Caenorhabditis elegans: one gene and its partners. The protein of the gene in region 1 interacts with the protein of each later gene in a pairwise test. Each region holds a gene or a part of one and is shown on either strand. Other genes may lie near its edges.

The links.
Region 2: the proteins of lrp-2 (region 1) and crb-1 interact in a two-hybrid assay, tested with the Caenorhabditis elegans proteins (one large-scale study listed by BioGRID).
Region 3: the proteins of lrp-2 (region 1) and ttm-1 interact in a two-hybrid assay, tested with the Caenorhabditis elegans proteins (one large-scale study listed by BioGRID).

What each region holds. Positions count from the first base shown.
Region 1 is NC_003279.8:3,950,551-3,956,903, reverse strand, and holds the start of lrp-2 (EGF-like domain-containing protein), read left to right. Parts: upstream 1-2,912; 5' UTR 2,913-2,961; coding exon 2,962-3,046; intron 3,047-3,457; coding exon 3,458-3,604; intron 3,605-3,686; coding exon 3,687-3,824; intron 3,825-3,876; coding exon 3,877-4,152; intron 4,153-4,447; coding exon 4,448-4,567; intron 4,568-4,634; coding exon 4,635-6,353.
Region 2 is NC_003284.9:17,409,866-17,416,358, reverse strand, and holds the start of crb-1 (uncharacterized protein), read left to right. Parts: upstream 1-2,344; 5' UTR 2,345-2,509; coding exon 2,510-2,555; exon of another isoform or gene 2,556-2,667; intron 2,668-3,107; coding exon 3,108-3,393; intron 3,394-3,439; coding exon 3,440-3,539; intron 3,540-3,585; coding exon 3,586-3,736; intron 3,737-4,235; coding exon 4,236-4,378; intron 4,379-4,423; coding exon 4,424-4,519; intron 4,520-4,588; coding exon 4,589-5,030; intron 5,031-5,120; coding exon 5,121-5,260; intron 5,261-5,327; coding exon 5,328-5,441; intron 5,442-5,716; coding exon 5,717-5,898; intron 5,899-5,946; coding exon 5,947-6,178; intron 6,179-6,228; coding exon 6,229-6,324; intron 6,325-6,371; coding exon 6,372-6,493.
Region 3 is NC_003281.10:12,951,970-12,959,882, reverse strand, and holds ttm-1 (Zinc transporter ttm-1), read left to right. Parts: upstream 1-2,711; 5' UTR 2,712-2,870; coding exon 2,871-3,161; intron 3,162-4,549; coding exon 4,550-5,342; intron 5,343-6,529; coding exon 6,530-6,678; 3' UTR 6,679-6,914; downstream 6,915-7,913. Other genes in the region: Y39E4A.1 (uncharacterized protein), read right to left, coding at 7,541-7,636. UniProt on the Caenorhabditis elegans protein: Promotes excretion of zinc from intestinal cells into the intestinal lumen in response to increased dietary zinc. Involved in cadmium resistance, possibly by promoting its transport from cells.

The DNA of each region.
Region 1 (6,353 bases):
CGCCCTCATCCTTCTTTTTCTTCTTTTCGTTTATCTCTGCCGCCCAATTGTTCACTCTCACATGACCCCCCTGCCCCCGATGACTCTTGTGTTGTAATCAACACAATGAACACAGATTCTCTTGTTTTATTCATTTTTTTCCAGAAATTTCTAGTCTATTTTCCATTCACTTTTTTTTTGTCCAAGGGTTTCACACTTTGTCCATCATGAGGTCACTCTATAGGGTTAGTAGGAGAGAGATTTAGAGCGTTAGAGATACATTTTCTCGGTCTCTTTCATTCGTTTTTTTTTTTTCATTTTTTCTCCCCACTTTTTTCATTCTCCATGTCTCTAATTTTTGAATCTCTACTTTTCAACCAAAAGTTTAAAGGAAAAATTAAACGGTTATAATTTAAAAAAACATGAAAACGATGAAAATAAAATTTCTACTTTGGTTAATTACTCCAAAATCTGGCAAATTTTAAGTTCAATTTTTTTCAAAATTGAATTTCTATACAAAAGTGTTCAGTTTACAACTTGGTTGCTGAAAATCTGAAAACGAAAGCTTTGAAGTTTTTTTGATAAAATTTTGATTCGAATTTTACTAAATATGTTGGTATTTGATTATTTTAGCATGATTCAAAATATATAGACGTTGGAATAATTTATCACAAAATGAATTTGATCCGATAGTTTGAAAAAATAAATTTTATTCGAAAAAATTTGTACAGAAAAACTTATCACTTCGTAAGTTCAAAAATTCCTGCCTGCCTACAAGGCGAGCCTTGATTGGGCCTACATGGCGTACCTACGGCCAAAAATTTGCGAAGTGTAATAAAATTTCAAATCTTAAAATTAAATAAGAAGTTCGAACACCAAGCACCCAAGGAGGTATGCCAAAATACAAAAATAATAGGCGATAGGTAGGCACGTAGGCAAGTAACTAGGCATGAGTCAGCTCACCAAAAAATGTGTCTGTGTTCTATAAAATCCCCTACATTTCAAAATGTTTCAAACTTTCCAAGTACCAAAATTTGGCAAAAATCCCCCTCTTCTCTAGTATCTGCTCAATTTGCAGTAAACTTTAGAATTTCCGATTCCAAAACTTTTTCCCACATCTCCCAAAACCTAGAACTGCTGCTTCCAAAAAAAGTCACGTAATTTCCCAAAAAAAACTTGTTATGAACCCAATAACTACCACAATTTAAATGCTCCAAATGCACGAAATACCATAAACATTTACCCTCTCCACTTCTACTCGATTTACCAAATATACATCCGCTTTTTCGTCGGCCACGCACTTGGCTCAACCATTTATCGTTCTGCGTTTCTCTCTCTTTTTCTCAACTTCCGTTCATTTTTCTTCTTCTTCTTGAAAAGTCAAAAAAAGACACCCAGAGATGAATGTCTCCAGTTTTATTGCCTACTTACTTGCCGCTTTTTGTCGGATCACATTCCGTTTTTTTATTGTTGCGCGTCGAATGTGTGCGGTCTGGATGAAATTATTCAGGAGCTCTTAGTTCGCTTTATTCATAAAAAAGTCTCAGTGGAGCAAAAAAAGCGTACTCTTGCAGACGCCATGTTTGAAATTTTTAGAAGGTGCGCGTGCTAGCTGTTCAATTTTTTTGCATAACTTTTGCACTTAACCATAACTATTGAAACTACAGCGTCCATATTTCGTTAGTTTTTGATTTTACTAAAAAGTTGTAAACTGACAAAACATTTATCGTGACTAACTCTACAAATTTGCAGTTAAATTTTTTTTTTTGATATCTATGAGAATCTGCTAAAGTTGTGCCAATTTATTTCTAGAAAACGAAAACTTATATTTTTGCTCTCAGTATTGTAAACTATTAATTGAATGTACTTACGCTAAACGTTTTCACAGTCAATCTATTAAATTGCCTCTTTGTGTCCACATACTGTTCCATTTACCCCCCCCCCCCCCCCCACCTTCCTTTCCCATTTCTTTCATCGCCGCCTATGTACCAAAACATAACTCTTTTCTTCTTCGTCGTCGCCTGCCAATTGCCTTTGACACTGCCCCGAATCACCAAAAAGTTATTTTTCATTGTTTCATTTTTACTCGACCAGTCTGAGTCTCATCTTCTCTACTCGTGTACCTTTTTTGGCCTTGTTGTCTGTTGGTGAGGGAAATCTCAAAATTGTAGGTAGTTTGGTTATTTTCTTTTTGGGGTTTTAAAAAGGATTCTTGCGTGGAGAGCTTCAATAGTTTTAGTTTATACTCCTTGAGGGACTCCATAAATTTTTTTTTAATTTGGAATGTTACTTTCTAAAAAGTATTTTTTTAGTTTTGTGTTTTAGTTTAATACAATTCGTTTTATGAATTGATCTAAACCAAAAAAAAACACAAGAAAACCAAAAAAATTGAATACGTTAAAAATACTTGCATTTAAAATTCCAAAAGTAATTTTTAAAAAAGGTGTAAAATTAATAAATCGCTGAGTTTTACAGTTAGTTTTTGCTCGGTTACCTTTTCCGGTAAAAGCGAAAAATGGATTTTTTTTTTGCTAGCTTCTTTCTGAGAAAAATCTCATAAAAAAGAGCAAACTTGTTTTTTGACTTCGTCTTCCTGCTCCTTCTTCCCTTCCCCCAACGCCTCATACTTTATAAATCTTGTGTGTTCGTGTTCGTGTTCACATTTCCTCTTTGTCAGTTTAATTTTGTTTATTGCATTTGGCTCATCGCCATCTTTCCTTCTCTTTTCCAAATGTCTTACTTTCTTCTTTTCTCTCTCTATTGCCATTTGAACATCTACAATATATTGGGTCATCTGAACCGAAACGAAATGGCAATTAGACAGAAGGGGGTTCTTGAATTAAAATCACATTGATTTCTCGTAATCGTTTTACTTTTTGACTTTTGAACTTGTCTCCCTTTTTTCCTTTTTCATCTTTTTTTGCTAATTTCAGTCAAAACCTGTACCTCTCGACTCTCCATGAAGGTGCTGCACACATTCCGATGCTCTCCGCCCGTTATTTAGTTATTCTTCTTGTTGCCCTTCAGGGTTTCAGCCTCGTTCAGTCAGATGAGACGTCAGCGGAGGGTGAGCTTTTTTCCTACGGTACTCGATCCAGTCACGAAATTTTTTTTTGTTAAATGTAAAGTGTGGGCGCCAGTAATTTTCAAAGACGTTGATTTTTTTTAATCTAAAAATGTGTTGAAAAATCAATGAAGTTTTGTAGAAACAAGTGGTTGGAAATTACAGTAATCTTCAAAGGCACACACCTTCTTACGCTTAACGAAGTATTTTTGTACTAAGACCGGATACTGTATATTTTCAAAATTCGGAAAATTTTGCCATGTCAGTGTAGTAAAATTTACTCGTGAAGTGTGTAAATGCATCGAGAATTTTCAAATAGTTTGAAAAAATTTTATTCTAAAGCCGTATAAATTTGGAAAAATAGCAAATTGCCTGTATTTTTTTTACTTTTCGGAATCAAAAAACCTTTTTCAGAAACCCAACCCCACTACCCAGAATGTGTTGCACCGATGCGAGAATGCGATGCAAAATCGCCGGGCGGTCCAAAATGCTATCCGGAACAGTGGTATTGTGACGGGTTTCCAGATTGTCAGGACAGTTCAGATGAGCCTTCCACGTGTAGTGAGTTGCTATTTTAATTTTTCTATTGTCTTTTTGAGAACATATTTCAACCACAAAATTCGTTTAATTATTCCAATTTCAGAACGAACGTGTCTAGAAAACGAGTTTGTGTGCAAAACGGGTAAATGTCTGCCACGTGGCTATTTGTGTGATTCGCAATACGACTGTGGACGTCTTCCAAACGGAGACCGCGACCTTTCTGATGAAGCTCCTGAACTTTGTAAGTCTTTGAAAATTTTATTTTCGTGGCGCTTCATGTCTAAACTTTCCAGGCAATCAACCACTACACTGTGATTACAACGAGTACGCGTGTTCAAAATCCGCACAATGCGTGCCTCTCTTCAAATTCTGTGATGGTAAACGCGACTGTTCGGATGGCTCGGATGAGCATTCGATGTGCCACGTGGAAGATCCAAAGACAGCCGACAGTTGTGAGTATGGAGCAGCAATGACGATTGATGGAATCAAGTGTTACTGTCCGAAGAACAAGTTTTTGAATGAGCAAGGAAAATGTGAATTTGTAAATCATTGTGAACGAACCAAAAATGGTGAGTTTTTTTTTAAGTATGAAAAAATATTCAACAGTTTTACGTTTCCTACGTTTTAAAAAGGTAAAGCTCAAATTGTTAGGATGAACTTTAAAATAGCCCCTGAATGAATTTAAAAAAAAATTTTGCTTTAAATTTTTTCAACGTTTTTTTATTTAGAAAAAAGAAAAAAAACGGGCGAAGTTTGAAAAAAAAATCGATGAGAAATCGACAAAAACGTCTAAGAATAAGACAAAGCAACAACATGGGAAATAAATGTTTAAAAAACTTCAGAAAGTGAAAAGTAGACTTTCAGGACTTCCCCCTGTATGCAGTCAAGATTGCACTGACAACAAGAACGGTACTTTCACGTGTTCCTGCTTCGATCCCAGGCTCACAGTTGTCAATGGAACGCATTGTGTGGCTGATAAAGATCGTGAGTTTAAAATTTTTTTGATGAACACTTTTATTTCAAAAAAAAAAAAACAAAAAACTTATTTCAGAAACCATCCCCAGTGTAGCAATTCTCACCAAGAAAAAGCTCTTTGTGCTTCAGAAAAACAAGATGTCTAGCTATTCAAGCATGCCTCGACCACTAGGAAAACCCGGAGCAATGACTCTTGTCATCCAGCATCCTGACTTCCCGGAGGCCACTGTTCCAATACTCTGTCTCTCCGAATCTCCATCGGCAAATGATAGTTATATCACATGCGGAAATGTTGAAGGCTCCGAACCTGCAACCAAGACTTATGCAATTGATTTTGATTTGTCTTCTATTCACATCATACGATTCGATAATATTGGTAACAACTGGATTTTTACGGATGCTTCTTATTATGTATTCATTTGCAAGCATAATAGTGTACGAATATCGTCCTGTCGAACTGTTACCGCAGGTGATATGGGAACAATTCAAGATATGAAGTATGATGGATTGAACGGACAGCTTTTGGTATCTGAAGTTGATGTTTTACAACAAGGAATATGGAGAATCGATGTAGCATCTGGTCAACGATACCGACTATCCTATCAACCGATTACTTCTCCTGCACTTGCAATTGACCCATTCACCGAGACATTATACTTTGTGGATATTGGCGCACGATCCATCAAAGCCGTTGACTATAATGCAAACTACTCAAGAACTATTGTTAGTGGCCGAATTGCGAAAGAAGTTAAAATGATTGATTACGCAGAGGGTCGGTTGTTTCTGACACTGAAAGACAATCGAGTATTTGCAATGAATGCATTGGATTCGAATTCTGATATGAAGATTTGGCAGGAAGTGACACCTCAGAGAAAACAAGGGAACGAGAATATTCAGATCCTTGAAGTTTTGCACTTTCGACGAAATGAGCATGCATGGAAGAACAAGGGAAAGAATATTTGCAAAGCGGCAATGTGTGATGATATGTGTATAGGGCATATCAATCAAACTTCGTCGTGTTTTTGTAGAGATGGGTACATTCAGAATAACACAAAATGTTCCGCCTCGAAAGATCTTAAAGATGAAGAATTATTTGTTCTTGCTCAGTTAAGACCTTCGAGGATCAAGATCCTTGGATTCGACAAGAACTATCGGACAGAGATCATCGGAGTCTCAGATCTTCTGAATGTCAAACGTCCGAGTGCAATGACTTTTGATCCAAAAGGAGAACAACTTCTGATGTATGATTTGAGAAGGCATTCACTTGTAGTGCAAAAGATTGGATCCACAAATTACACAGTTCACGGACTTACTGGAATCATGAACTGTGAAGGAATGGCTTATGATTTTACATCGGATAACCTCTACATGACTGATCAACGACGAAAGATAATTACGGTTCAAAGACTTTCAAATCTTTCCATCCAAAAAGTAGTTGTTAGTGGGAATATGAGCAATCCAAGAGCCATCGCCATCCACATTGCAAAGAGCTATCTTTTTTGGGGAAGTTGGAATGAGGACAATAATGACGATGAGAAGATCCCTGCAATGATTGAACGATCGAAACTTGACGGAAGTGAACGAAAAACGTTAGTCTCGAAGAACGCAATGTGGATTAATGGATTGACTTTGGATCTTAAAAATGATTACTTGTACTGGTGTGATGCATACCGAAATGTTATTGAAAGGATTCGTTGGAATGGAGCTGATCGAGAAGTTGTTGTTCATGGCGCTGACAAGATCTCTCATCCTTATGGGCTCGCTTTTTTCGACAATCACATTTTCTATACGGAAT
Region 2 (6,493 bases), on another chromosome or scaffold:
GCATTATTACGTACAACTGTTCTAAATTAATAAGTTATTTTTATAAGGTTTTGTGTTTGAAAACGTAAGGTACTTAGTGAAGTTTTATTAGTACAGGAAAAATAGTCAGAATTTTTTAATAAATTTTCTAGCTCGATCTACATAATTAGTATTCAAAACCTTGATTCGAAAATAATTGTCTCACTGTTAGTCAACAAATCATCACGGACTATTTGTCTTCAATTATCTTGTTCATATCCCTTCTTCTCGCCATAACCGGAAATGCCTCGAAACAAATACATGTGTCCCTTCACTCTTAATACACCCTATATTCCGGTCGTCCACGCACCTTTTTTTCCTCAGCAGTCCATCAAGTGTCCCTCCGTCCTTTTCTGTCATTTGCTGCACAATTCTATTCTTTCCAAAAACTCTTTTTGTAAGACCTGGGGTTATGTGTGCACTGTTATCAATACCATGCTCTTTTCCATGACCTTACGACCCCGCGCGCGCGCAATCGTTTTGTTTTGTCTATATGCGTGTTTTTTATTGACTGACTGACCACTACATATTTGCGGCATATTCAAAAAAAAGGTGTTTAGAGATAGACAATTAGGCGACGAGATGTATCATGCACACATACATTTTTATCTTCTCTAGCGTATTTTTGCGCCGTATTTTTTTTCTGATGCAAAGTCCCCAGATAATACCATAAGTAGAACGCGATCCGAGAAGCTAGCCACAGGGGTGATTTTTTTTCGTTGCTAATTTTTTTTTGCTTTTCAAAATTGTTGTTTTCCGTAAGTACAATTTTAGCATTTTTTTTAGGAACGACAAAAAATCGTCAGATCAATTTGTAATTTGAAATTTGAATCCAAATAATCTCTTGGTTTTAAAAATTTAGCATTTCAACAAATATCAACACAAAAACTAAGTTTAATTATTCAATGTTTATCAACTGAATTTTTATTAAATTGAAAAAAAAGTTGTTTTTAAAAGTTGTTTTTTAAAAATTTATTTCATCATGTTACCGTGAATTGAAAATTTGAACTTTTCAGTTATTTGAGAAGATTCCCTATTTTGAAAATGTTGGCAACATATTTTTGAGCGTAAAATGTTCACAATGAACTGTAATTTTTTGATTAATCAAAAATATATATCAGAATCAATTTTAAGGTTTGTGACCTCCAACATTTCCAAAAAACATAACTGATAGCATAACAAGTAAGTTCAAAAACTTTGCGTCTCTTGAGTATTATTGGGAGGTAGTTTGAAATTCCCCAACTATCTTTGAAACATTTGAGAATTTCACTTTTTAAAATTATGTAATTGATTCACTTGTTGGTATTTTTCCATGAAATTCCGACAGTTTGCCATTTCCAAATGCGCGGTCATTTGTCAACTGTGCTCCGCCTTGGCCTTCATTTCTACTCAATTTTCTCAGCAAAGTTTGTCCCGTCTAAACGGAACTACTAAACTTTTTTGCTTTTGCCGTTTTTATTTCGGAAATTTTTATTTGAATTTTCATCCAAATATTTTCTAAAAACGTATTTCGATATCGGTAACCCCAGCAAATCTCATTTTTCCGCATAACAGGACAAACACACTGTCCTTTTCGCTTCACTTTTTTGCTATCCCCTTCTTTTTTCCGTGTGCGTGCCGGGTGAAACTAGTCTCATCATTTGAAAATTGTCTGTATAATATCCGACCTACTACACATAAAATATATAGATGTTGGAGATGTTGACAGCCGGAAATTGTTTGGAACTAATTAGCTGCTGAGGGTTTTTTGCTGTAATTCAAGTGGACCCAGCACTTTTTGAGTATTTTGAATTTGTACTTACGCATAATTAAGCTTGTTCATTCTTATTTCTTTTAAATAAAAAAACTCCTGAAATCACAATAAAACAATATTGTCGCTTGTTATGGGATAAAACCCCATATTTCAGCTAATTTTATTAACACATACAAGTACATTAGGAACTAGATGATAATAAAAAAAAGTAGGAAATATTTTATCAGACGACAATTAAAAGTAAAATCAAAAGCATGAGCTGCCAAACTGAAACGAGCACAAAAAAAATGTCGAAATTGTACAAATACTCTCGAAAACCTTTTTTTTTAACTAAACGCTGAATTTCTATGTTTTCACTTTTTATAAACGTTTGAAAATTTTGTATATCTTCAATCACTCGGTCAACTGAAACTTTCCCTACTATTTCCAAATTACCGTCGAAATGCCACAGGGCAGCTAGCTGACCCCTGGCAACCACGAGATTCCCCCCCCCCCCCCCTTCATCTCTCTTGCCCGTGTTTCCTCTTCCGTTCTAATTACCTGCTTATTATCCGACAATACACCTGGCTCTCTAGGACCTTCTCTTTCTCTCTCGCGTCACTCCGGCAGCTAGCGTGTGCGGTACAGAAGAACAATCGTCAAGCGGCAAACTACCTTTTTTACCTCCAAACACAAAACAATTCGACTAGCTGCCGTCATTACTCCTATTTGGGATCTGCATTCAATGATCTACCACTCATGAAATATCAACATTTTCTCATATTTTGTACCCTGGTTACAAATGGTAAGTCTACTACTAAGATATGATGTCATTCGGTTTCACAGACTGATTGATCTGAGTGTGAAAAGTTTTGGTTTAGACTAGATGAGAGATAGAAATGTATAACACGAAGTTTAAGTGAACATCTCAAAAACTGAAAATCTAATTTAAATTCAAAATATGTTTGAGAAAGTTGATTTTGGGCTTTTAAGTGTTGAGCATTGTTGTATCTGAAAACTCTCAATTTTTGCAGCCCATCTCTTCTTTGATTTTGTAATCGTTTATATATTTTCAACTAAAATTGTAAACAAATAACTATTAACATATTTGTCGGTTAACAATTATTTCAGAAGCCCAGACCTTTTCAATAAAACACATGACTTCTTTCTCTGAAAATTAAATGAAGCTCGTATATTTCATACCAAAAAACAAAATAAATTTCTAAATTTTGTTTTCCAAAGATCAGTTCCAATCTAAAACTTGGACAAAACTACCAACTGACTTTTTGCAAAAAGTAATCCATCATTATCATTAAGACAGATGAATACCACAAGCTGTCACTAAAACTCTTTTCAGCACTATGTAACAGAGCGTGCAGTCGGAACACATGTCTTAACGGCGGAACTTGCACAGTGAACGATGAGACGCGAATGTTTCAGTGTGAATGTCCGAAGGGTTTCAGTGGGTTGCTATGTCAGGACAACTGCTCTTTGCACTGTCTCCACGGTAACTGCGTGAAAGGAACGTTTGGCGAAGAAACTTGCCAGTGCTCCGAAGGATGGATGGGCTCACTTTGTGATAATCTAGTTACTGATGATGACACTGCTCAAAAGTGCTCACCGCAATGTGGCGATGACGAAAGGTATACATGACCTTGTGCAAACCAAAAACATGTATGTTTTTTATAGATGCACAAAAGGAGCCGACGGATCATACATTTGCCAGAGCAACGAGCCGTCTTGCGCAACACACACTTGTCAGAATAACGGCACTTGTGTTGCCGAGAACGTGAGTGACTTGAGTCCAGAGTGATAAAAACCAATAGAATGTTCAGGGAAATGTAAAATGTGCCTGCCCACCTGGATTTGTTGGAGATCACTGTGAAACTGACGAGGACGAGTGCAAAGAAAATTTTTGTCAGAATGGAGCAGATTGTGAAAATTTGAAAGGAAGTTATGAATGCAAATGTTTAAAAGGATTTTCTGGTGAGTTTTGGTTTGAAAATTTGGATGGGAAGGATGAAATATAGTTTTCCAGTAGACATAATTGTGAAAAAAAAACCTGAAGTTTGAAAAACGTTTAGTTAGATTTTTTCAATAAGACTAGTGTGAATTTGATCAAAAATCATTTATAAGGTGCTAAATGACCAAATGTCATAAAAAATTTTCTAAACAATTCGGGGATTTTTTATCTCGAGTCAAAAATCGCATACATGTTTTTGCCACGTTTCGACAAATCTGAAGCATTGTCATGTTGATCCCTTTTGGCTCGAAATAAAATCATTTCTTCAGGTTGTTCAAAAAGTTTTATTATGATATTTGGACAAATACCCAGTTTTTTTGCAATACTTATAGTTTTCAACTTTCTTATTATTTTCTCAATTTTGTTAACGTTGCTGATTTGTTGAGAGTTTACATTCGAATAAATTATTTTATAAAAACAAAAGAAAACTAAGAAGAAACATGTTTTCACAATTTCTTCTAGGTAAATACTGTGAAATCCAAGACAAGAAACAATGCACTTCTGATTATTGTCACAACAATGGTCAATGCATTTCGACTGGCTCCGATCTCTCCTGCAAGTGCTCTCCCGGGTTTGATGGTGCATTCTGCGAGCTCAAAGCAGAGGTAACACCAATTTTCTCACTGTTAATTGCTTGTGTTTTTTCTCAGGTTAACGAGTGTATATGTGAAAACCCGGCTCATGTTTGTTCACTCGTAAACGGGACGTCAAGGACAACGCAATGCGAGTGTCCTTCGGGGTTTATGGTACGTTTGACGAATAATCTGGGCATGTTCGGATATGGGTCCCTCGCGCAATCTATCGTTTAATTGCAGGGTGCCGACTGTAAAGAGTTGCAAGCTCGTCCATGCGATCGTGAGCCGTGTCTTAATGGGGGTCACTGCGTCGACGACGGGCAGAATCTCTTCACCTGCTTTTGCCTTCCCTCTTTTACCGGCATCTATTGTGGAGAGCCTGTTGATTGTCTGGTTAATGGATCGGATTGTAAGAATGGGGGAAAGTGTGTGTTCGCGTTAGCCGCAACTACCTGCCAGTGTCCGGAAGGATTCAATGGGTCCAATTGTGAAATAAGTAATTCATATCGGTCACATCCAACATGCAGTGACATTCGATGTTTGAATGGTGGAAGCTGTAAACTCGACGCAGAAGGGGAACCGTTTTGTGTATGTGAAGAAGGGTTTGATGGACCGTTCTGTGAGCCAAAATCTGGATGCACAATTAATCCCTGTCAAAATGGAGGAACTTGCCAAGATGCAGGTAATAAGAAAAAGAATAGAGTTTTTTAGGGAGCTGTAAATTAATTTTTGTGCTGATACTGATACTCTTTAAAGTTTTACAATTTTTCAGATGGACAATACTTCTGTCATTGCACATCAGGCTTTGGTGGCGTCCACTGCGAAACGGTGGATGAGCCTTCAACCCCTATTCCCACATTAGGAACGTTTCCATCTTTTACAACTTCTGGAATCGACGGATTCTCTCAGAGTGTGAGTGTTTTAGTTTTTTATTCAAAATTCGTTCATAATAAATACTTGCAATATTAAAATTTTTCAGAAAATATCTTGCGAAGACTGCGTCAACTCATCCAATTGTCTTGACGTCGAATCTGGGCCAGTTTGCATTTGTGATGATGGATATTTTGGACAAAAATGTGATCAGAAACATGATGTAGGTTTTTTTTAAATGAAAAACAGTGTAGAAGAATGCTGAAGTTTTACGAAATTTAATTGTGTCTTTTGAATTCAAAAAACTAAAACTAAAATTATATTTTTAGTCTTTTCTATGTTTTGTAACATAAAGAAATTAGTCCCTGATTTTGTTCTACATTAAATTTGAGACAGTAAGTTCAAACAGTTTTCCAGAATTGTTGGTATTATATATGTACTTTAAGAAAATTTTAAAAAGTAAAAAATGTAGACAAATCATTCCATTCTTATTTTCAGAAATGCTCTAAAGTATCCTGTCCATCTGGTCAAACTTGTAGCCAAGTGAATGATAACGTGAATATCACTGCACAATGTGGATGTGAAATAGGCCACTTTGGACAACAGTGTGAAATGGTGACGTCAGCAACATTTTCGGCGAAAAGTTTGTATATTCATCAGAGCTCCAAATTCTCCCTTGGGTACTTTCTTTTTCTCTAACTATATATTTTATGAAAAAAGCATTTCAGAACTTCTTCATTCGAAAATATTGCCTATGAACTAGAGTTTTCGTTCCGCACAACTGTGGAAAATACCCATTTGGCGAGCAGCGAGAACATTCTCGGAGAGAAGATTTTGTCTATTCAACTTTTGTCGGGATACTTGGTGTTCAACATGACCGGAAATTCGTTGGAGCACCTGCTGCCAATGAGAGTTAGCGATGCTCAATGGTATACAGTGTTTGTAAAGGGAGAGGATAATGTAAGTTTAAATTTTTTTTAACTTGAGTATATATTTTTAATTTATTACAGAAAATCCAAATCGAAGTCTCCACTGAAAATGGGTTCAGTCTAGTTCAAAAGTCAGTCAACGGACAGCTTGAAGTGTTCCTCACCAGATTTGGAAAGGTATTAGCGTATGAAATACACTCTTTACTCAATAAACTGATTTACAGATCTCTGGAACTCATCACTTTATAGGATGCATGGCTGATGTTCGAGTGGACGGGGATCTCATAATTTTTGCAGATAACAAACGAGCAATTGATATTAGAAAAGGGTGCACTAGAAGTGAACA
Region 3 (7,913 bases), on another chromosome or scaffold:
TTTCTAGGAGCTCCAAAATTACTAAATTCTTAGCACAAGTTTAATTTTTGAATACCTCAATTTTATGTTTTTTTACTATAATTTTTTGAACAAAATCAATAGTTTCGGTCAATTTTTTAAAATCCAATTTGAGGTGTTTGCGGCAAATTCGCCACAATTGCCGCACACTCCTAATAAGGTCATTTCTAATTGCAGTACTTCTCCGGAATACATTTCACGAAACTGTATCACAAACTAGAATGACGTCTCCCCCTTATCACACTTTCACTCCTCCTCCTCCTCCGTCGACATGTATATAAATTTTATGAAAAAGCCCCGACATTTAATCACGAAAATGCTGACACTTTTTTAAGACACCTATACTGATAAAGAGTTCGGTTCACATTACGTCCTTTTCACTTTACTTGATCTCTCTTTTTTTTTGTCTCAACTCTATCATTTTTCCAACAAAAAAAAACTAGTTTCTCATATGTGTGGGAGGTGTGTAAATCATCTCGGCCTCCTTTTTTTCTTTCTTTTTTTGTCTTTTTTCGAAACAATTTCCGTTTCACATTTTCTGCACTTTTATTGCTTTCTTCAGTTCTCTAGAAAATATTTTTAAATTACCTAATATTTTTCCACGTGATATTGTTGCTACTTATGTTATCACATGAGCCTTTTAAAGGGCATCTAATAATATTTTTTTTATATATAAATTGTATTAAAATCAGAGATCAAGCGATCAGAAGATGATTTTTTTAAAGGATTCTTATTTTTTTCCTAAGAATCTTGTAGATCACAATTTTTGAACACAAATTAATTTGAAGCTTAAGCCTAAGCCTAGGCCTACGCCTAAGCCTAAGCATTAGCCTCATCTTAAGCCTAAGTAAAATGTTTTTGTAAAAATTCTGATGAGTTCTAAAAAATCACTAATTATTTTGTTGACTCCTTCTTTCCCCAACTAGTTTGAAAAAGTTCAATTCAAGCCCTGAAAATTTGTACCTTTTTTTTTGTAGTTCCTCCCTAGTTTCCACAACTTTTCTGGGAGTTTGTCGAAAAAATAATAATGTAGCCAAAAAGTAGAGAATACCGGAAATTCGACCCCAAAAAATTCAAATTTTCAACAACTTTTTTCTGAGATTTTTGAAGGATTTTTGATGGATGAAAACACAAAATACTTGATCTTTACATTTTCTCAACTTATTTTTTGAAGTTCAAGACATAGAATTTGTGTCTTTTTGAATTCAGAAGACCATTTAGAGGCAGTCTTATGTCCATCTCTCGCCTACATAAACGGCACATCAAACGATCTTGACCAAAGTTTTGTTTCACCTTTTTATTTTCTAGAAGTCTGCCAAAGTCTGTAAATTAAAATTAATTAAATTCCCAGTAGCTTAACAATAATTTTTACACTTTCGCCTCGTTTACAGGGAGGTAGATCAAAATCGTTTTTTTTTTCCTTCACTTTTCACTTGCAAGTCTCTCGTTTTTGCTAGATAGATAGATGCTTGATGGCAGGAAATACAATCTGGTTCTTCTTCTGCTTTTCCTTCATTGACTATCTATAATCTCTCTCCTCGTGTTTCTTATTATGCGCTTGTGAATTTTTTTTGAATGCCTCACATTTTCAGTCTTGCAATTCTTATTGCTTTGCAGAAAGCAATAAGAATTTTTTTTGAAGTTTTTTTTTCTGTTGAAAAGTTTCCAATTTTTTGTAAGAATTTGTTTGCTTTTTTGCTTTTTTGAACTTTTGGCATGAATTTTTTGGTTTTTCATATAACTTTTTCCTGGAATTTTTTTCCAAAAAACTTAAAAATTTGTGCAAAGCGGAGTTTTCAAGCTAATTTCTTTTTATCTTGTTAAAACTGATTTTTTTTTGAAAATTTTATGTCAAAATTTTTTTCATAAAAGTTGTAGAAGCTTAAAATTAAATGTTTACCTAATTTAAGAACCACTTGAGGTTTTTTTCAGAAATTGTATTTTTGAAAAATAAAATATAAAATTTTTCGATTTTTTGAAAATTTTCTAAACTTTTTTAAGGCAAAAAATATTTTTTTTTCTATTCTTTTTAATCTAAAAATTGCCGGATTTTTTTTGAATTAAACGATGAAATTTGAAGAAAAAAAATCTGGCATTTAAGTCGGTATTTTTTGAAAAATAACTGAAAATTAAAAAAAAATTTTTTGGAAAAAAATCCAAAAAAATACAGATTTTGAAAATATTCACGAAATTTCACTGGCTTTGAAACTTTAAAAAATGCACTGAAAACCTTCGAATTTTTCAATTCAAAGTACTAACTTTTTCATAAGAATCTAATTTTAGAAAAAAATGTATTTCTATTGAAATACGTCCAAAAGTAAGCTGGCTCGCGGAGCTCTTGGAGCTTCATATCCAAAAAAAAAACAAATTCCTGCATGACTCGAAAGATCTTTGATTTTTAAAAATTTGCATAAAAAAATCTTGCGACCTTCCTTCCCACTCAATTTTTTTCCTTTTTTTCCTATCAGCCAGAACGTTTTCCCATATTCAATTTTGTTCTCCATTTCCTTTTCCTATTCTCCTGTTTATTGTGTTCCTTATTCTCTTTTTTCACCCCATTTTTGTCTTGTTTATTTGTTTGTCAAAACGCATTCCACCGCTCCCCAGTCTTTGTGTTGTTCTTTGAAAGGGGACAACAAAAAAAATCGCGGAACTAAGTAACTAAGTTTTTCATTTTGAAATTTCGCTGCTCTTGTCAGAGTGTCCCACGTCGTTTTGATCTACGAAAATCTACAAAAATTGCGGGAATTTTTGGTAGATCAAACCTTGATGGGACAGCCTGACACACATACACGTGCCGTACTCATTTCTCTTAATTCCCGTTAAATATATTTTTTGAAATCTCTAGAACTATGACAATCTCAATGATATCTCCGTCATCAATCCGCCTATCCAGTGACAAACGTGACTCTTCCTCATCCAACCTGCCCGCCAACATCGAAGAGGACACCCAGTCGGTGTCCTCTTCGGATTCTGGAGTATCTGCCGACTCTATTGACCACCATCATCACGGTCATGGGCATGGGCACTCTCATGGGGGTCATGGGCACTCACACACACACAATAATGATGATTCCTCTTCGGATTGTAGTGGAGCAGGAGGAGGAGCGCATAAGCATAGTCATGATGAGAAATATCAAAAGGTACATAGCAAATTTTTTTGCAACATGGCTCAACTTTTACCTCTATTAAAATGACCATTATATTAAAACTAAATTTTTCAAAAAATGTTGCTTTTAATTTTAATTATTGCTATCTATGTAAAAAGCCCAAAATCGACCATTTTAGCATAAAAATGTGTTTTTTTTAAAATCAAGCCAAAACACGAGCTCGCAATTATACATATCAGAGGAAATTTTCAACTCCGGCAATTTGCCGATTTGCCGGAAATTTTCAATTCCGGTAATTTGACGATTTGTCGGAAATTTCCAATTCCGGCAATTCGCCGATTTGCCGGCAATTTTCAATTCCGGCAATTTGTCGATTTGCCGATTTGCCGGCAATTTGTCGATTTGCCAGAAATGTTCAATTTCGGCAATTTGTCGATTTGCCGGAAATTTTCAATTCCGGCAATTTGTCGATTTGCCGGAAATTTCAATTCCGGCAATTTGTCGATTTGCCGATTTGCCAAAAATTTTCAATTCCGGCAATTTGGCGATTTGCCGGAAAAAATCGTTTGCCGCCCACAAATATCTAGCAATACGACGACTTCCTGTGAATTGAATATTTCATCCTAAAATGTTGAAAAATATTGGAAAAGTGTCGAAAATTTCAATAACTGATTTTTTTTCCAAATTTAAATTAGTTTCCCTGAAAATGTTCTTGAAAAATTGCAATTTTATTTGAAATATATAAAAATCAAGGCATTTTTCAGTTAGCGGGACGTTTTTTTGACAAAAATGCGAAAAAAAAACGCAAAAAATATGACAAGAATTTATACATTTGAATATTTTTCTGAAAAAATCAAAACATTATTTGACGCGCAAAATATTTCGACGCGAAAACTACAGTAATTCTTTGAATGACTACTGTAGTGTCGATTTACGCGGCTCTATGTTCATAGATTTATCGATATAATATCAAAATTAAGCAAAGAATGAAAACAAAGATAATACGAAAAAGCAAAGAAAAACTGCGCTAAAGTAGTAATTTATTGAATTACTGAATTACTACGAGATATTTTGCGCGTCAGATATGTTGTGCAATACGCAGTCTCACGTGATGTCAGAATGTCTCATTTCGGCTTTATCTACGTAGATCTACAAAAAATGCGGGAGAAGAGACGCAGAGTTCGTGCTGACGTCACATTTTTTGGGCAAAATATTCCCGCATTTTTTGTAGATCAAACCGTAATGGGACAGACAGCCTGGCACCACATGCATTCTCAGAATTCAGTGTTACCGCACAATTTTAGTAGTAATTTTTTTAAAAACACAGTGTATAACTTTAAAAAAAAACATTTTTTCGCCAAAAAAAAAATGGACATAAAATTTTTTGTTTGGATTTTCCAACTAATATTTCTCGTTTCCAGGGTCGCCGAGCAGAAAAAGTGCTATGGGCAGTTGCAGCACTATCCGCAGTCTTCATCGCCGCCGAGTTCGTCGGTGGATTCTGGGCTCAATCGCTAGCAATTATGACAGACGCCGGACACATGCTCAGTGATCTTCTCTCATTCATCATCTCAATTTTTGCGATTCGTTGTGCACGTCTTCCCGCATCGAAGCGTCTTTCATTCGGTTACGAGCGAGCCGAAGTTCTTGGTGCTCTGACGTCTGTGATCATTCTCTGGGTGCTCACGACAGTGCTCGTCGTCGTCGCTATTCAGCGAATTGTGAACAATGAGCATGAGGTGGATGCTGATGTGATGCTCATCACCGCGGGCGTCGGAGTCCTTTTTAATATCGTTATGGGATTGGTGTTGCACTTCGGAACTGGAGGTCATGGGCACACTCATGGAGGACACTCAAGTCATGGACATGCTCATGATGGAAAGAATGTGAATGTTAGAGCTGCTCTGATTCATGTCATTGGAGATTTGGTGCAATCCATTGGAGTCCTGATTGCTGCCCTTATCATTAGGTTTACCGGATGGACACTTGCCGATCCGATTTGCACATTCCTTTTCTCGATTATCGTGCTCTTCACGACGGTTACAGTTATGCGGGACATCTTTTTCGTTTTGATGGAAGCCACACCGAGCCACTATGACTTGAGTGATGTGAAGAAGGCGTTGAGTGCGTTGGAAGGTGTAAAAGGTGTTCATGATTTGCATTTATGGTCTATTGGAATGGATAAGACTGCGTTTTCGGTGCATTTGGCACTTGGTGAGTGGCTTCTCATTTTGGAGTTTTGAGTAAAACTGAGAAAATTTTGGCGGAAAATTGAAATTTTTCAATAAAGATTTTGGCGGGAATTCAAATTTTTCAATAGTTATTTTGGCGGGAATTCAAATTTACTTTTAAAAATGTTTGCCGGGAATTTCAAATTTTTAAAAAATAATTTTGGCGGGGAATTCAAATTTTTCCATTGAAGTTTCTACCGGGAAATTCAAATAATTTAAATATATATTGTGGATATAAATGCAAATTTATTCAATCAATTTTTGGCCGGAAATTCAAAATTTTAAATGAAAATTTTGAAGGGAAATTCAATTTAGAGCAAAAATTGGATTTTAAAAATTTCAAATTTTCTCTGAAAAACTTTGAATGAAATTTAAATTTTCTGAATAATTTTTGGCGGGAAATTCAAAGTTTTGATATAAAGATTTTGGAGGAAATTTAAATCTTCTGAGAATAATTTTTAACGGGAAATTCGAACATTTTTTATAGGAATTTTGGCGGGAAATTCAAAATTTTAAACTGTTAGTTTTGGCGGCAAATTCAAACTTTGGCTATAAAATTTTTGGCGGGAATTCAAACAATTTTCTTTCGAAAAATTTGCCGGGAAATCGAGTTTTCCTTTAAAAATTTTTTGGCAGGAAATTCAAATTGTCTCTCTGTTGCACGTGGGGTCAGAATGTCTTATTTCGATTTGATCTTCAAAAAATGCGGGAGTTGAGACGCATACATCTCATCTGACTTCGCATGGTTAAGAGCGTGCTGACAATTTTTCTGTAAAAATATTCCCGCATTTGTAGTAGATCAAGCCGCAATGAGACAGCCTGACACCACGTGCTATTGAAGTTTTGAAGATAAATTCAAAATTTTCAATAACAGTTTTGGCGAGAAATTCAAATTTTTTAAATGAAACTTTTGAAAAAAAATTCAGATGTGCTCTAAAAAAATTGGCAAAAAAATTCAATTTTTTCCAATGATTTTTGGTGGGAAATTCAAATTTTTAAATGAGAATTTTGAAGGGAAATTCAAATTTTTTGAGAAACAATTTTGGCGGGAAATTCAAAGTTTTCTGGAAATTTCCTGGAATGTTCTGCAAGGGAAAAGTGCTGCCTTTCATGATATTGAATTTTAATATTTAATAAAAATATATTTTTCTAACTCTTCCAATATTCCAGAATCTCCTAACCGCGCCATGGAAAATGTTGCCGAAGCCCGTTCCCTGATCCGCCGGCGATTCGGAGTTGCCGTCGCCACTGTCCAAGTGGAGCCGTTCGACGAGAAAATCGATTCCTGTGACACGTGTCAACAACAGGAAACTGCTTGATTCCAGTCCTCCATCGTTCTTCTAATCTATTACGATACGGGCAAACTTCTACGTTTTTTTTTTCCAATCAATTTCATTTTTTTCAAAACGTTTACTTTTCTCGACTTTTCCTGTCAGTTTTTTGACCTACTCACACGGGTTGTATTCATTTGGCACATCCAGAGATGCCTACTAATGTTCATATTTTTCCTTACTGTCCAATCCTGTCAAATCGATAATAAATGGCTTTAATTTTTTTTTTTTGAAATTTTTGAAAGAAAATCGAAATATTAAAAAATCAATAATTTATTCAAAATCAATATTTCTGAAAAATCGATAATTAATAGAAAGTCAGTAATATTCGAAAAATCAATATTCTAAAAATCGATCATTTTTTTGAAAATTGATATTTTCAAAAAATCGATAGTTTATAGAAAATCAATAATTAAAAAATCGATTGTTTATAAAAAAATCTCTATTTTTGAAACATTGTTAATTTGCTACGAATCAGTTTTTTAATTGATAAATCTTATAAAACCAGTATTTTTAAAAATTGATAATTTTAGAAAATCAATATTTAAAAAAAAATCGATAATCTATGAAAAATCAATATTTAAAAAATCAAAAATTCATTATGGCTCAATGTTTGAAAATCGATCATTTTTTTTCAATATTTAAAAAATAATCGATAATCTATGAAAAATCAATAATTTAAAATAAATCGATAATTGTATTCCTGAAAAATCGAACACTGAAAGAAAATCAATATTATTTTTTGTTGAAAAATCAATAGTTTTTATTGAAAATCTATATTTTGAAGAACAACACAAAATCGAACGAAAAATCCAATATCTTTATTCATTTTCCACCCAAACTGTTTTATTTAAAGCGGGAAAATACTGAAGTAAACGAGAACGAATAAAACCAGACAAATCGTCCAAATTCCGAGCATTGTCCAGTAGACGATTTTCGCGTTTTTCTGGAAATATTTGAAGATTTCTTGGGAGGAATATTTTGCACAATAGTGGGGAGAAAATCGATAAATTAAAAATGTATATATCGATAATCTATGGAAAATCAATAATTTTAATAAAATCGATAGTTTATAGAAAATCAATATTTAGAAAAAAATCGATAATCTATAGAAAATCGATATTTTGTAAAAAAAATCAATATTTTAAAAATCGATAATCTATAGAAAATCAATGTTTGAAAAATCGATAATTTATTGAAAATCACTAATAAAAAAAATCGAT